Ovis aries: one gene and its partners. The protein of the gene in region 2 purifies or fractionates together with the protein of the main gene of each other region. This does not show direct contact. Links are inferred from orthologs where the notes say so. Each region holds a gene or a part of one and is shown on either strand. Other genes may lie near its edges. The genes, in order: CDK2, SPDYC and CDK1.

Region 1 (5,357 bases), on a different chromosome or scaffold from region 2:
GAAGTCTGTGAGACCAGGGATCTAGAGAAAGGGGGCACCGGGGTACAATGTAGATATTTCTGCACATCACAGACTATCCTCACTCCATCTCTAACATGTACCAGAAACCTGGTTGATTCTCCTGGGGGACGATCTAGAATCATCCCGCTGAATATCTCACCACAAGAACAAGAGAATCATAAGATGCCCCATTCTTTCTCCACTCCCAATCCTCCCTCCTCAGAGCAGCACGAGACATTCCAGACCCTCTCACCACCCCCACCCCTTGCTCCCGTCACGAGGCCCCAATCCCCAGAGCCCTTTCATGTGATGCTCAGCTGAGACCCCTCTGCCTATCTCTTCCAGCCCCAGAACAAAAGCCTGGGCTGTGTTCACCCATGCCCATCCCAAAGAGGGGATGAGGTGCCTCTTTACCCTTCTATCCAAACACCACATTCGCTTTCTCCTCACTTTAAATACCCTATCCCAAGTGCTTAAGACAAAGCCTAAATGAGTTTCCACTCATTTTACTACCTTGGCACCCATGTTCCAGCTCACTATTCAGAGCATCTCAAAATTAGGGCCACAGAGACATACTGTTCTCTCACCCGTCCAGGTAGATGGGGTTGTTTTCAGGTTCAGTCCCAAGTGCCTGAACACATATGCACCCAAATCTTCATGTGGGGAGGGAGCTCAGTTGCCCATGTCCTCACTAAATCAAATGGATGAGAAACACCTGAAGCACTGCTGCTATCTTCCACTTTAGGGAGAGAAAAACCAGAGCAGGTGTGTAACCCTAAACTCACACTTGTTCATGTCCACACATCCCACACTCACCTTCTGTGGCCCCTACAGCCAGAAGAACACCCATCAGAGCCACATGGAGAAGGTATTTTCTCAGCACCAGATCCATCCTGTTCTTCCTTCCAGCAACCAAAGACTCTGGGGCATTGGACAAACCCCTGTATAAGAAGGGGGTGCTTATTTGCATAGCCCTTCCTCCCCTCCCTCCAGGCAAATCCTGGGAGGAGCAGAAGGATCTGAGAGACAGAACAGAGGAGGGATCCTGGTCCCTGGACATCATGCTACTCATTGACAGTTTCTGGCTTCACAGGGTCAGTCTCATCTTAAAGTACTCCATCTCCCCTCGCGGGGAAAAAATGACTGAAGGGCAGCTACAAAACATAACACGTACCGGACGCACAGGGTTCATCATTGGAGAGTGGATCAATCTATTGTGAGTCAAACCAGGAACCTCTCAAAATAACTGTAGAAGCAGCGACCCTGGGTCCAAAAACAGACAGTATTGGGGTAGGCTGAGAGAAGTGGGACAACGACTCTTCGGAGCCCTAGGAAACCCTTACAATGAGATTTCCAGTTTCCTGCTTTCAGAGGAGGCTCCAGGGCGAGGTGGAATTTAATACATATTTTCCTTAGGGTGGTGAAAACGGTGATTAGAGATCAGGAAATCCCTATAGACTCAGGACACAGAGAGAAAACTCGATCCCAAATCAGATACTTGGAAAAAGGTGTTCAGCCTCCCCATCCAGATAAAAATTTATCCTTAATACTCCTCGGAACCAAAGTTACTCGGGGTGGGGTCGTTTGCAGCGAGGGACACAGGGCTGGCCCCGCCCTCTCTGACGTAGACCAATAGGAAGATCTGAGGGAGGAGCCAGGGAAACGCGGGAAGGAGAGGCGGGGCTTCTGGTGGCGGTAGGGAACTAGAGGGGGGAGGCGGCAATATTGTTTCAAGTTGGACAAATTGACAAGAGCGAGAGATACACTACGTTCCATCCCGACCTCGGGTCGCGGTGCTGGGCCCTGTTTCCCTCCTCGGCCCCCGAGAGCTGGGTGCCGTTTTTTGCAGGTTCCCAGGCCCCAGCTCCAGGGCCGGGCTGACCCGACTCGCTAGCGCTTCATGGAGAACTTCCAAAAAGTGGAAAAGATCGGAGAGGGCACGTACGGAGTTGTGTACAAAGCCAAAAACAAGTTGACGGGAGAAGTGGTGGCGCTTAAAAAAATCCGCCTGGACACGTGAGTGGCCTCTGTACCCGGGAGTCCTGACTCGGGAGCTCCTTGAGTGCCCCCCACCCCCACCGCAACAGGCGGGTAGCCTTCCAGGGACCGGAAGGTAGCAGGGAGGGAAGTCTTTTGAAGTGGAGAGGTGGGTTGAAGGACGAGTAGAGGGTTTCCCGGTGGAGACTATAGGATAGTGTAGAATCCATGGGAAATTTCCTCCCCAGAGGCGGGCGATGTCCCCAAATGTACAGTCAGAAAGTGTCAGGAAGAGGAAGGAGCCTTTTGAGATGGGATCCAGGACTCCCCGACGAGGAGATGGGTTTTGTGATAAGTGGTAAAGAGCACCCTTATAAATGACTAGACCAGCCCTCAGTGCCCCAACCCCACCCGCATCTTAGAATTCTCTCTTTCAAAAGAATGGCAGTTGAACCTTACTGGCACCTCTAGAGAGGCTGGGTGTTGTTACTTCCACACACACACACTTTTCCCCCTTTTAACTTCACCAAGAGGCTTTGCTAACCCAGCCCTGGGCAAAGAAGATATGATGATCTTAATGGGTCTAAAAAGACACTCCTGTCCATCCATGATTTAACCACTGAAGCACCCTTTCTCTCACTTAATTAGGGGATGCTGGGTTGGTGGGGGCTGTGGGTGGGGTGGGGGGAATGACTGTACTGCTGAGGGAAAAGAAATATTTGTAACCACATTCCCATCTCTGCTTTCTCAACTTCTCCAAGTGAGACAGAGGGTGTACCCAGTACTGCCATACGAGAGATCTCTCTGCTTAAGGAGCTTAATCACCCTAATATTGTCAAGTAAGTATGTATCTGGGAGGTGGGAGGTGCTCTGACAGTAAAGGAGAATGTCTTCTGTTTGTATTGTCTGGGCCTTTCTCTCCCTCACGTGTATTCCTGGACCTCCCCCTTCCCTAGGCTGCTGGATGTCATTCACACAGAAAACAAACTCTACCTTGTTTTTGAGTTTCTGCACCAGGATCTCAAGAAATTCATGGATGCCTCTGCACTCACTGGCATTCCTCTTCCGCTCATAAAGGTACTCCTTCTCATCAACTCCTCCCCAACATGGGCATGTTTTGGGAGTCCGGACTGAAAGCAGGCAATCCGGACTGAGTGTTGATTTATCTTGGTTTCCTTCCCAGCCCTCACCCCCCTACACACACACACGCACACACCTTTTCTTGTGGCTCTTTCACTGCTCATTATGCTTTTAACCCTAGGGCTGGGCAGGGGAATCAAAGAAGTTGAAACTCTAGTAAGTCAACTTAGCAGCTCAGGTGGAAGGTTCTTGAGATGAAACTCGGATAAATGGGACTGGGGGGTACTTGGTAGATGCCTCCAGAAAGCCCTTCCACCTGTTTGGTGGGAGAAATAGCCAGTGAGTCTCTGTTGTCCATTTTTCTGGGTTCCTTACTCCGGAAGCTACTTTCGATCAACCAACAAACATCCAACACACATTTATTGAACACTTTCAATGTGCTGGTCCACGCTATGGAACATAAATGCAAAACTGAATGAGACCTGATCTTATCCTCAATGGGTTGACAGTCCAACTGGAGAAATAGCTTGAAAACATAATTACAATTTAACTAGTAAAGGCTTTAGTAGAACTTTGGAGTTACAGAGGAGACCCTAATCTGCTCACGGTGGTGGAAAAACAGAGTCTTTTCTTTCCCCTTGTCAGAGCTACTTGTTCCAGCTGCTCCAGGGCCTAGCTTTCTGCCACTCTCATCGGGTCCTGCACCGAGACCTTAAACCTCAGAATCTGCTTATCAACGCAGATGGGTCCATCAAGCTAGCAGACTTCGGACTAGCCAGAGCTTTTGGGGTCCCTGTTCGTACTTATACCCACGAGGTGAGTCCTCCTCTGCATGTCTTCTCTGAACTTCCTGGGAGGTGTTAACAAGGACATTCATAGAGTTTTTAGTAACGATCTGGCCAGCAGTTTCTCACTAGATGGAAAGTATTTCTGACACCACAAGAGGTCTTAGAGTATGCACAGAATTCATATATTGATAGATACCGAGCCAGGAGACAGGTGGAAGGCATGAAATTTAAAATTATGACCATTTGCCTCAAGTTTTCCAAGAAGGTTGCAAATTGAGGGTTCAGAATATATGTTCCCCAGAACCATGGATTAGGCTAACTCTGGGCTAAGAAGTTGTACCCAGTTATTTTACTTAGGGGCAATGAGAGTAAAGGGAAGGATGGAGGGATAGAAGTTGCTTGTGAAGAAATTGAGTTAGCAGAATAGTGTTTAGAAACTGACGTGTGGATATCTTCATGTCCTGTACTCTTTTCCTCAGGTGGTGACTCTGTGGTACCGAGCACCGGAAATCCTTCTGGGCTGCAAATACTACTCCACAGCAGTGGACATATGGAGCCTCGGTTGCATCTTTGCTGAGATGGTATGGAGGCATGCCCATGGTCTACTCAGCCCACTCCTTCCCACACTCAAGAACAACAGAACTGTTTCTTGGCCCAGACCCATGGTCCTTCTCTTATCACAGGGTTCTTCCTTTAGAGTAGCACAAAGGGGGTCATGGAGAAAGGAGAGGGCTGTCATCCCTGATGTCAACCACAATGTTAGGATAGCCTCAAACAGCTTAGCATCCAGTATACAAAGCTTATCTCCAAACTGAGCTAAATCATTTCTGCAACTGTGCTAGCTTTAGCCTACATATATTTGGGAAAATAAGTTCCATTTAGCATCTCCTTCATTTGCCTATAGACCTTATTTTAGGGCATCAGGAAGTGGTGAGGCCAGCTGTATCCACCTTATCCACACCTTTTATTTAAACTGCAGACATGTCCCCCCCTCAACCTCTGGCTTTTCAGATTGAAGGATCCCTGAGGCCCAGCCTTATAAGGGAGCTCTCATTCCCTTTAATACAACAGTGGAGTGAGCTGAGTTTTCAAATCAAGTCAGCAGTATGTTTTATGGTCCCTTATCTGGGTTGTATCTGGGGGCATGGAGACCATTAGCCCATATATATAACATGCATTTATCCCCCAGTGCAATACTTTACAATTGCCCATATACGTCTCTCAATTCATCAAAAAATATTTGTTAAGCACCTAGTGTGTACCCAGCACCATGCTAGGTGCTGTGGGGAACACAGAAGAAATGGAAGACACAGTCTCTGCCCGCTGTGCTCCTATCTAGAAGTGGCTGCATCACAAGGAGGGGGGATGACCGCAGTGTCTACCCCATACCCCGTGAGTGGCTTGACATCCCTTTGCTACATGTCAGTGGCACCCCAGACATTCATCCCCTCCCAGCCCCACCCAGCCTTGGGGATCTGCAAAGCCATGGTTGGGGGAAGGAAGGAGGGGGTG
Region 2 (5,192 bases):
TTCCTTGCTGCGAGGGCTCTCGGTTCGAGGGCTTCTCATTGTGGTGGCTTTTCTTGTCAGGAACGGAGGACGGGCTCTGGAGTGAACAGGCTTCAGCAGTTGCAGCGCGTGGGCTCAACAGTTGTGGCTTGAGGGCTCCAGAGCACAGGCTCAGTAGTCATGGTGCCTGGGCTTAGTTGCTGGGCAGCAGGTGGGATCTGCCCAGAGCAGGGATCAAACCCGTGTCCCCTGCATTAGCAGGTGGACTCTTCACCACTGAGCCACCAGGGAAGCCCCTCCCAGGTCTTCTGGAGCGTGATCATCAGCAATCCTCTGATCTTCAAAGAGAAACCTGACTGAGTTCCTGGGAACCCATTATGATTCTTTGAGTTTCTTGAGATGCGTCACCGTTTTCACTCTAAAGTGACTCTCACTGCTTTCCTGTTCCGTGACTTCGAGTTTAATATCCTCTTCCTTCTTATCCCCCAAGTCCTCAGTTGAAAGTTTTGAAATGGGGAGCTATTGTTTCGTGAGTACTTAAAAATGTGAACTTAAAGGGTGTTAAGGCAGTACGTATTGTTCAAGTTATGTGTACTTTATTAAGGGAAAAAAAGGGGGGAGAAGTCACCTGTCACATGTAGGTGCTGACTGTCCCACAACACTAAAGAGTGAAGAGAAACTGAGTCAGTGAAGATGGAAAGGCTTAAGGTCTGCTTGGTGGGGCGTGTGGGGGAGCAGTGTGGAGGGGCTGAGCTAGGTGGTCCTGGGCAAAGCCCTCCTCCTCCACTTTGGAGCCTCTGGAGGGGCTCTCGTATCCCTAAAGGACCTTGGAATGGGGATGTGGCCCCAGGGAATTCTCACTCCAAGACAATCTCCTCTCTGGTTCCCAGGTTTGGGGATTCCTGTATCTGAAATAAATACAGACACAACCAGCGACCCTTCCCCAGCAAGGCACAATCACTGAATATTTATAATTTACTCATCAGCCACGCGCCGCAACCCAGGTTGGTAGCATTCTAGGTCCGCACCTTGGCACTGCATTTGTAAAGAGCGGAGAAGGGCTCCTGCTGCCTTTCTGGCCCTGGGGTCCCGCTGGCCTGCCCTCACCCTTCTCGTAGATGATGAAACTTGAGAGAAGCCTTTACCCAGGAGAGCCGCAGCTGGGAGGTGCGTGGTGGAGACTGACTGGGTTAACTCTAAGTGGAGGTGAGCGGTGATGACGAGAAGCCACACCCTTTCCCAGGAAGGGGCCTGATTGGTGGAGGGCTTCTAGGGCGGGGCAGCTCTGGGGCTATATAAACACACTCGTTGGGCTTGGAGTTACGCTGTAGGCTAACTCCTGAGCTCAGGTAAGTCTTCTGGAAGGAGGAGGCTGGGCTTACCTGAGGGAACCTAGATGGAGGCCCCTAGGTTGACCAAGCCGTTTTGGAAGGGACCCTCCCCCGAGACCTGTAGTTGGAGTCTCTCTCTTTGTAGCTCCAAATGTTTGCAGTGGCTCCACCTCAGAACTCGCCCTAAACCCCAGTATTTTTGTCTGATAACGTCCTTGTCTCTGGGCTTCAGTTTTCCCTCTGTGAAGTAATGGTCTGCTGGTCTTTTCAGGGCTGCTTGATGAAGGGTGAGGGGGTGGTTGTGAATTGGGTGGCAAGAGGCGCCATGAGTCTCTGGCTTTGGGGTCAGACAGGAACCACCTTGAAGTGGCCATGAGACCTCCATGCTTCAGTTTTTGTGTTTGCAAAATGGGTTTACTTACCAGGACTAAATAAGTTAAAGCGTTTAACACAGCTCCAGGCACTTAGGAAACCCTCAGAGGCGCTCGTTGCTGCTGTTGTTACTCTCTGGCCTGGTCTGGGGTGCCAGGAGGAGGCGTGAGGGTGCTGTAGCTCCCAGGAATTCTGCGGCCTGTCTTGTCTCCTCACCCCCACCCCCACCCCTGTTTCTCCATGCCCATCCCTCCACCCTCTGGAGGTCCTCTGTCAGGCCAGCCACACTGATCCTGTTGACTTGTGTGGGGCTGATGGGGTAAATGCTAAGTCCTGGGGCTGCTTTCTTTACAGGTCACCCTGTCCCACCCCACCCCACCCGCCCCCAACCCCCCAAGAGATGAACGATGCCCAAGATCCGGCCACAGTCCCTGGAGCTGATACCCAAGTGAAGCTGAGGGGCTGGAGCTGTCAAGGTGAGGGTGATGAGTCTTCCCATCTCCGCCAACACCAAGAGCTCCAGGCCTTTCTCCACCTTCTGGGTGAGTCCACTTGGGGGCTGGCACAGAAGGGACTGTGAGGACCAAGCGTGAACTGATGTGAGAGGTGGGATCTCAGCCTGCCCACGTCTTGGTCCCATCCCTTCTCAAGTAACTCTGGTTTGGCAGGTTTGCGAGGGGGCGGGATGGGGGGAGGCGGTTCATGTCAGACATGTCAGACAAGTGGGTTCAGTGGGGGCTCGGGCTTTGGAACTTAGAATGCTGCTCTCGTCTCCTGGGGTGAGGGTGGTAACTCCAGGCTACCATTTCTCCTCCTCTCCCCCAGAGCACAGTTTCCTCCAGGATTTCCTCTCCAAAGATCCCTGTTTCCAGATTTCAGACAAGGTGAGAGTGGGGGGAGAGTCCAGGCTCACTCGGGGAAGGTTGAATTAGTGGAGCCTGAGTGCTGCTAATGCATTGGGTCCCCTGGTTTGGTGGAGGGAATGCCCCCATTTTAAGCCCTTGTCTTTGCAGGTCCCCCCGCACCATTTTACCCTGGATTTTCTAGGCCTGCTCCAAGCCCAGAACCTGCTTGATGGGCCTGGCACAGTCCCCTCCCCTGCCCGCAGTGCCCTGCTCTAACTCTCCCCATTTCTGCGTCTGCAGTATCTCCTGGCCATGGTGCTGGTCTACTTCCGGCGTGCCAACCTGCAGCTCAGCGAGTACACCCACAGCAATCTGTTCCTGGCACTGTGAGTGGCCCGGGTGCCTGGTGGGGACGCCCACTTGGAGTCACAGGGTGGGGGCAGGGTGGATGCTTACAACCTCTGTTCCCCCTGTCCCCCACCTCTGTGGCCAGGTACCTTGCAAATGACATGGAGGAAGACCTGGAGGACCCCAAAAGCGTGATTTTTCTGTGGGCCCTGGGCCAAGATTGGCATCACCAAGTATCAGACTTCCTGCATCAGAGGGACAAGCTGTGGGCACGGATGGGCTTCAGGGCTGTTGTGAGACGCCAGAGCTGCGAGGAGGTGAGGCGCCAACCCCCCCCCCCCACACACACACACACACCAGCATCCCAGGGTGGGGGAAAGAGGCTGGGCCTCCCACCTCACACTTACCATCTACTCTTCTCATGCAGGTCATGGCCAAGGAGCCGACCCACTGGGCCTGGACTCGGGAGCGGCACCCCCACCATGGCAGGGCTCAAAGGAGCTACCCAAAGGCCCAGATCCCCCTCCCCCGGGGTCCTGGCCTCTCGCCACCCCACTGCCCTCTCTGTGCCTTGCCCCCTCGCCGCAGCCTGTGCTGCCACCGCCCCCGCCCCTTGCCTGTCTTATCCAAGTGCCTTTCCTACAATGCTGAGTGGCACCGCCCTTCATTCCAAGCTTGGCCCTGGAGTAGGGGCTTCCTCATTGTCCTGCCCACCCAGCTGCTACTGGAACCAGGCACCTATACCCTCCACAGTGAGTAGTGGACAGAAGCTGGGGGGTGGGGGGGGCAGGGTGCTGGGAGGAGCTGGAAGGCAGGTGTGGAGCCCAACAGAATGGGAAGGAAGGGCATGGTGCCTGGGGTCCAGCAGGCTTGGGCAAGTGTCCAGCTTGCACCCCCTTGCTGTGTGAGCTTGGCAGGCTTCCTCTGAGCAGCTCTCTGTCCTTCCTCCCCCAGTCTTCTCTAAGCTGCTGCTGTGCCCTCGGCGCTGATACTCGCAGGGTGAAGAACAGCCCATCTGCTTGCCTGCTGGCCCAGTGCTCTACTGACTGTGGCCCCTCCAGCCTCCTGTCTGCTTGGCCTCAGGCTGGCAGGGCTGCTCATGCCTCCTGCCCCTTTCTCCCAACCTGCAACTTGTACCCACTCTGACCTGACTCCTCTAATAAATTCATACCCACAGGACATCGGCTGTACTTAGGCCCTGGTCTGGGTCCTTCACCCAGGGTGGGAGTAGGGAGGAAGTTTTGGGGAAGGGGGGGATCTGCCAGATTTAGGTACCAGTGGTTGAGACCCCTGAGCACAGGCCCTGTAATAGCTCTCCCTTCCCACTGGTGACCAGTCATCCCGCTGTTTCTCCTCTTTAACATCTTAGTGGATGCTGACACCCACATAGAGCCCACGGAACTGAATGAAATGAGCTATATGCAGTCCTTAGAAGAGGGCCTGGGACCTACTGGACCAAAAAGAGCTCCAAAGGAAAATGGCTCTATGTCAGTCTAGGAATGCCTGCAGGGTGAGGTCTTTTTCAGAATGAGTCTTAGTCCTTGCTCTGGGCTGCAGTTGCCTCTTGTGACCCCATGGACTGTAGCCCACCAGGCGCCTCTGTCCATGAGATTTCCCATGCAAGAATATTGGAGTGGGTGGCCATTTCCTTCTCCGGGGGATCTTCCCAACCCAGAGATTGAACTCAGGTCTCCTGCACTGCAGGTGGATTGTTTACTGCTTGAGCCACCAGAGAAGTCCGTCTGATGTGATGAACTATGTCAAGTTTGCCCGTGCTTGGGTGGTGGTGAGGAGCAGGATTTTTGGAAAGACTGTCTAGAGTAGTGATTAAGACTTGGTCTTTGGTGCCAGACAGTTTAAGTTCAAAATCCAGGTTTCTGCATGACTTTAGCACAACAGATTTAATCTCCTCTACCGCCTCATCTGTAAAATGAGTATTACACTAGAAAGGATACTGTTTGAGATTTGGATGTGATAATACTAGAAGGGTTTAGAAGTAGATCTCAAGAAAGGAGCTCGGATGTGGGTGTTATCAGTAGAGGGAATTGCTGCCCAGAGAAAGGTTAAAGGGGAGTGTATCTGGAACAGAAAGAAGGCAGAGATGTCTAAGGGGTCAGGTGGCAGAGGAATCTAAATGTAATTTCCCTCCCTCCTCTCTGAGTGGTTCCCAAGAAGCATGGGGGTGAAGCCTGGAGGCTGCAGACATTAGAAGCCAAGACAAGGACTGTAAAGTATTTTTAAGAGTTCTTCAAATAGGTAATATAGTCACATATATATTTTGAATTTTGAACCAAGAGTCATCTCCTGCCCCTGACTA
Region 3 (5,531 bases), on a different chromosome or scaffold from region 2:
TTCTCATGTCACCTTAGAGCATAAGTTACAGCGTAAGTGCCAGAAGCAAGTTACAAGTAATGGTTGTGTTCTCCGACTCCCAACATCTCAAGCAGGAAAATACCTGACTGATCTTTGTGACATTGTATAGAAGTTGACCCAATGAACAGTCAATTGTATTTGCCAAGATGAGAGCCTAAATTTAGAACAACCCCTGAACCCTTGTGGCTCAGCTGGTAAAGACTTCCCCTCAGTGCGGAAGACCTGGGTTCGATCCCTGCGTTGGGAAGATTCCTCTGGAGAACGGAAAGGCTACCCACTCCAGTATTCTGGCCTGGAAAATTCCATGGACTGTATAGTCCATGGGGTGGCAAAGAGTTAAACATGACTGAGTGACTTGCACTTCGCTTCATCCCACCTGAAACTTTAAAAGATAACTAAAAACAAATAAAAACAAGCTGCAAAAATAGAGAAAGATAACTGAGTTAAATTTAAATAAAAATCTAGCATGAAAGTGTGGAAGCTTGTGGTCTTCTTTATGCTGAATGTCAAATGTATATAATGAATTACTAGCTGTTTTTAGATGATATAAATTAAATCCTTTGCTTAAGCCTCTCAGAGGGAAAGCTATATATATTTATTCTTTAAAATTAGTACCCTAAACTAGCAGAGAATAGTCTTCTCTAGAACACAGTTTTCATTTTATTTAAGGCAATTTAAGGCAGTTTTCATTTAAAATGTGAATTTGAGATTTTAAAAATAAGTTTTAAAAGTTATTAGGTTCAGGCCAAGTTTTCCCAAATCTCGTACTTCTACTATGAATTTAAAATATTCTGTCACCCAGGAGCACAAAATTGCCAAGGTTGAGTGTTTGTGCCACATATAGGGGGCCATGTGATAAACTTATTCCATTCCTTATCCTAATCTGGATCATCAAACACATAGTTGTAGAGGGCATGGTAATCAGTATTTGTTCCAGATCTCGATACAGTCAGTGGAAAGACTCTTACTATCCTCAGTTCTATTTTACTTTTTTATTTTCTTAAAGACTTAAGAATGATGTTCAGGTGCAGAAATCTCTTTAGGATATGGTGGAGGGCAATGAAAGAGTTTGGGGATACGGGATTATTTAAAGTGTAATTTAGATCTTTTTCTTCTCCCACAGAAGTGTGAATTTTTGTGTTTTTAAGAACATTTAAAATTCTGATGTGAGAATATTTTAACATTTAAGAAAAGAAAAATTTTGCTTTTTAATTTTTAAGTCAAAATGTTACATAGATTTTAAAAATGAAATTTAAAACAGTGAGGTGAAAACAGCTCAGCCATATATGTGTGTGAAATGTGACAAAAATGTATCTAACTCATATTCATATATATATTTATATATATATGAAAAGTTTCTTTACCCTGTTGAGGACATCTTTCCTAGTTTTCTATTACCTCTTTCTATTAAAACAAACTTTATTTGTTTTGTTTTTTGGCTGCCTTGAGTCTTAAGTTGAGCATGAGGGATCTTCCCCTTGGGACATGCAGAATCATGCTCTTTGACCCAGACTGAGATTCATTATTTTAGAAAAGCATAAATATACATTAGCTTTCAGTATCAGAAATGAAAGTAATGGGATCTGGATTACGTGTAGCACCACTTCTGTGATGAACTATTTGAATACCTCAAATTTTTATTGTGCCAATATTGGGAGAGAAAAAAACCCAACCCTGAGAGGACAGTAGATTTCTTATGACTAGAAACAATAAGACGACCCTATCTTGGAACGCGCTTGCGCTCAGACTCAGTTGGCGCCCGCCCTTCTGCTTTTTCTCCAGCCGCCGTTTCCTCCACCTTTCGCGCTCTAGCCACCCGGGGAGGCCAGCGTTAAGGGAAGCTAGGCTCTGATTGGCTCCTTTAAAAGTCTACGGGCTATCTGATTGGTGAATCCAGGACCCTTTAGCGCGGTGAGTTTGAAACTGCTCGCACTTAGCTCCAAAGCTGGCGCTTGGAAGTTAGGGAGAGCGTCGCCGACTTGGTAGCCGCCGCAGCTTTCGCCGCGGGATAAAGCCGGGTAGCGTTGGTGAGGTCAGGGTGTTGCCTATGGGGTGTCCACTCGGAAGGGCTGGCTCGCGGACCTTGGAGGGGGAGTATTAATGAAGCAGGTGATAATTGGGAGGCTGGGCTCTGGGCAGTGGGGTTCTGCGTACCGCCAAGCCCGGCCTTAACCGGAGGCCCCGGGCCTGCGCATGGAGCGACGCCCAACCTCGGCTTCAGTGGGAGGCGTGGGGGAGCCCAGCCCGGCCAGGCAGGGTTGGCATTGCTGTGGTCTCTGAATTGCAATCTGGGGTCGCGGGCGGCTGAGGAGGCTTTCTGGGGTTGATGGAAGGCAGATTTGTGCCTTCGTTCGCCGACACCAAGCGCTTGTGGAGTGCCAGGCTCTGCCCTGCAGCTCCTAGCTTCGCCTCCGGGAGTGGAAAGCAAGATTGCAACTCAGCCCGGTGCTCGGGCCTGCTTCTAATCCCAGGTGGTCACGGGAAACCGACCGGAAGAACTAACTTGTGGGCCTTCTCAGCTTGCCTCTCTGCTCCCATGACCCTAGCTTACCTGGAGCTTTTAAGAACACTTATCCTGGGCATAGACCCCGAGAGAACTTGGATTTTTTGGATTTTATTTTATGCTTGGTGGTTGTTACATACAATGGAATTGGCAAAAACTGGAAATCTAAGAAACGCCGAGAGTTAGAAACGTGTCATTTAAAATCCTTTAATCAGTTTTAACGTGCAGGTCTTGCTTTCTTTAAAGACCTGGAGGTGTCTGGGTGGATGAAGCCATTGGTATTTTACATCCTGCCACTAGGAATAGAGGAGGCATTCAAAAGGCATTACGAAGCCACATCCTTTATTTAAAATAGTTGCAACCAGGGAAAGGTGAAAGAGTAATTGAACCCAGCTTTGAAATTGAGTTAGTTTTCAGTTATTTTGTTTAAAATAAGCTCCACAGTTTCATTGTGATTTGGGCATATTACAGCTGGATATTGAAGAAAAGATAGTTAGTCCTAATCCATTGCCATTTGTAAAATTGAACATTTTTAAGATGGCCAGAGTAGTGCAATTTTGTTTATTTAAAAAAGTTTATCTCTGCTTGTGTCTGGAATGATTTTGAAAAAGAATGTGAGAAATTTAACTCAAGGGTCAATGTAACTTAAGGTTCAGTGACCTTTATGATTTTATCAGTGATATAAAATGATGGTTTGGGCTTCTGAAGTTGATGTTTCCATGGCAAACTTACCAGGAAGTCTTGAGTATCTGGTTGTCATTTGGGCTTTTTTTTTCTTAACCATTTTTTTGTGTGTGTGATTCAAGTATATGGACATTCTTTGTTCTTGACATTGCATGGGATATAATTAGACTTTATGTATGGAATTGCCCATTTTCTTTTAGAGTGCTTAGTGATATTTCCTACTTTACAAAAGGTATCTTGAAAGTTTTTTTTTATCATGTTTGTGTTACGTGACTCCTGACAACAAGAGAAAGATAAAAACTGTCATTTGAGCAAGTTGAAATGAATATACTTTTGCTGCTTTAAATATTTTCTAATGGTTGAACAGTGTGACCACATTTTAGCTCCCTACTCATGTCTTTAAAAATTGTTTATTAACTTCATAAAAGTATCATGAAGCTACAAATTCAAGTAGCATTCATTGCTAAACTATTTGGGTATAACTGGCGCACATTGATGAGCCTTGGAAGTCTTATGTAAAGAACATCAGGGTTTTCTTTGGGACGGATAGATGTTGATGTCTGAATTTGAAAGTTAATTTTGAAAGAAGCCCCCAGGTGGCTCTAGTGGTAAAGAACCTGCCTGCCAGTGCAGGGAACATAACAGACAGTGGTTTCCATCCCTGGGTCAGGAAGGTACCTTGGAGGAGGGCATGGCAATCCACTCCAGTATTCTCGCTTGGAGAATCCTATGGCAGAGGAGCCTGGCAGGCTCCATAGGATCACACAGAGTCGGACACTGAAGCGACTTAGTATACCAAAGTTATCCAGGTATAGGATATACAAATATTTCCAATGTTTCAGAAGCTAAGAAAGGTGGGAGAGTCTTGAGCTCTTCCCCTTGTAAATATTGTTTTAATAGAATAGCTAATATTATGGAAAAATTTTTAAAAATTTATTTGTATTTGGCTGCACTGGATGTTCATTGCCACAAGTGACTTTCTCTAGTTGAGGCAAGTGGATGCTACTCTCTGTTGCGGTGCACCAGCAAGGTGCACAGGCTTCAGTAGTTGTGATGCTTGGGCTTAGTTGCCCTGTGGCATGTGGAATCTTCCTGGACCAGGGATTGAACCTGTGTTCCCTGCATTGACAGGTGGATTCCTATCCACTGCACCGTGAGGGAAGTCCTATTATGGAAAGTTAGTACTGCTCTAGGCACAGTGGGAAATTCTTTACTTGTAATATCTTATCAATAACTTAAAAGCACCCTTTGAATTGGTGACATGTGATCAAATAAGCTTTTCTTCTCATTTTAGGATCTACCGTACCCACTGATTAACTATGGAAGACTATACCAAAATAGAGAAAATTGGAGAAGGTGAGTGGCTTTAATAATATACAAGGAATTTTAAAAATGATTTAATGGTTTGACATGTAAATATTCAAATTCAGTTTTTAAAGTATCCAACAGTCATTAGTACATTAATATATATGTTCTCATATATATATGCTATATATAGTAGCATAAGCAAAAAAAAAAAGTTAACCTTTCAAGAGCACTGAAATTATTCTGACATGTCTCCCTACCAGCATCCCTCCAATAATCTTACATTCTTCTAATACTAAACACTTAAAGCAATACATCTGTGTATTTTTAAAAAAACACTATTGCTATTTTGTAGGTGTGTTGAGAGTGTTAGGGCAGTGAAATTATGTGCTTTAGTTTTAAGTATGTCTGCATATACTCTCTGAAGTACTAGTCAGGGTCATGTATTTCATTTGGTAGTTAATGTCTTCATGTCTTTTGAGTAAAATAGTCCTCTTGTCTTTTTCCCCCTTGACATTGAGTTTTTGACTACCTAATTCATTTCTTAAATATATCAGCTCTTATTTCAATCATTACCAAGTTGTTCTGTGATTTCCTTCTAAGTTAACAAAAATAATTCATTGAACTCAGGCAATAATTTGAACCCCTTTTGCCTTTTTAGATCACAGAGAACGTAACTATATGCATGATGTGGAACCTTAGTTGGCATTTAGCAGATACGCTATAACCATTTGTTGATTAACAGTTTTTCTGTTTATTGTTCAGTCTCCATAATTTGCCTATATTGAAGATTTTTAAATTTTATAATGCTTCAGTTCAGTTCAGTCGCTCAGTCGTGTCCGACTCTTTGTGACCCCATGAATCGCATCACGCCAGGCCTCCCTGTCCATCACCATCTCCCGGAGTTCACTCAGACTCACTTCCATCGAGTCGGTGATGCCATCCAGCCATCTCATCCTGGGTCGTCCCCTTCTCCTCCTGCCCCCAATCCTCCCAGCGTCAGAGTCTTTTCCAGTGA

Evidence for each region.
Region 1: the proteins of SPDYC (region 2) and CDK2 purify together in Homo sapiens (co-immunoprecipitation; 3 studies listed by BioGRID and IntAct, with this or other methods). This does not show direct contact. The link is inferred for Ovis aries from reciprocal best matches to the Homo sapiens genes SPDYC and CDK2.
Region 3: the proteins of SPDYC (region 2) and CDK1 purify together in Homo sapiens (co-immunoprecipitation; 3 studies listed by BioGRID and IntAct, with this or other methods). This does not show direct contact. The link is inferred for Ovis aries from reciprocal best matches to the Homo sapiens genes SPDYC and CDK1.

Annotation. Positions count from the first base shown.
Region 1 is NC_056056.1:163,555,915-163,561,271, reverse strand, and holds the start of CDK2 (cyclin-dependent kinase 2), read left to right. Parts: upstream 1-1,779; 5' UTR 1,780-1,900; coding exon 1,901-2,016; intron 2,017-2,738; coding exon 2,739-2,816; intron 2,817-2,933; coding exon 2,934-3,054; intron 3,055-3,702; coding exon 3,703-3,873; intron 3,874-4,324; coding exon 4,325-4,426; intron 4,427-5,093; coding exon of another isoform or gene 5,094-5,237; intron 5,238-5,357. Other genes in the region: melanocyte protein PMEL, read right to left, coding at 817-892. UniProt on the Homo sapiens protein: Serine/threonine-protein kinase involved in the control of the cell cycle; essential for meiosis, but dispensable for mitosis. Phosphorylates CABLES1, CTNNB1, CDK2AP2, ERCC6, NBN, USP37, p53/TP53, NPM1, CDK7, RB1, BRCA2, MYC, NPAT, EZH2.
Region 2 is NC_056074.1:39,830,625-39,835,816, forward strand, and holds SPDYC (speedy protein C), read left to right. Parts: upstream 1-2,062; 5' UTR 2,063-2,082; coding exon 2,083-2,224; intron 2,225-2,507; coding exon 2,508-2,566; intron 2,567-2,827; coding exon 2,828-2,913; intron 2,914-3,020; coding exon 3,021-3,192; intron 3,193-3,302; coding exon 3,303-3,627; intron 3,628-3,829; coding exon 3,830-3,864; 3' UTR 3,865-4,054; downstream 4,055-5,192. UniProt on the Homo sapiens protein: Promotes progression through the cell cycle via binding and activation of CDK1 and CDK2. Involved in the spindle-assembly checkpoint. Required for recruitment of MAD2L1, BUBR1 and BUB1 to kinetochores.
Region 3 is NC_056078.1:15,814,253-15,819,783, forward strand, and holds the start of CDK1 (cyclin-dependent kinase 1), read left to right. Parts: upstream 1-1,968; 5' UTR 1,969-2,039; intron 2,040-4,502; 5' UTR 4,503-4,527; coding exon 4,528-4,564; intron 4,565-5,531. UniProt on the Homo sapiens protein: Plays a key role in the control of the eukaryotic cell cycle by modulating the centrosome cycle as well as mitotic onset; promotes G2-M transition via association with multiple interphase cyclins.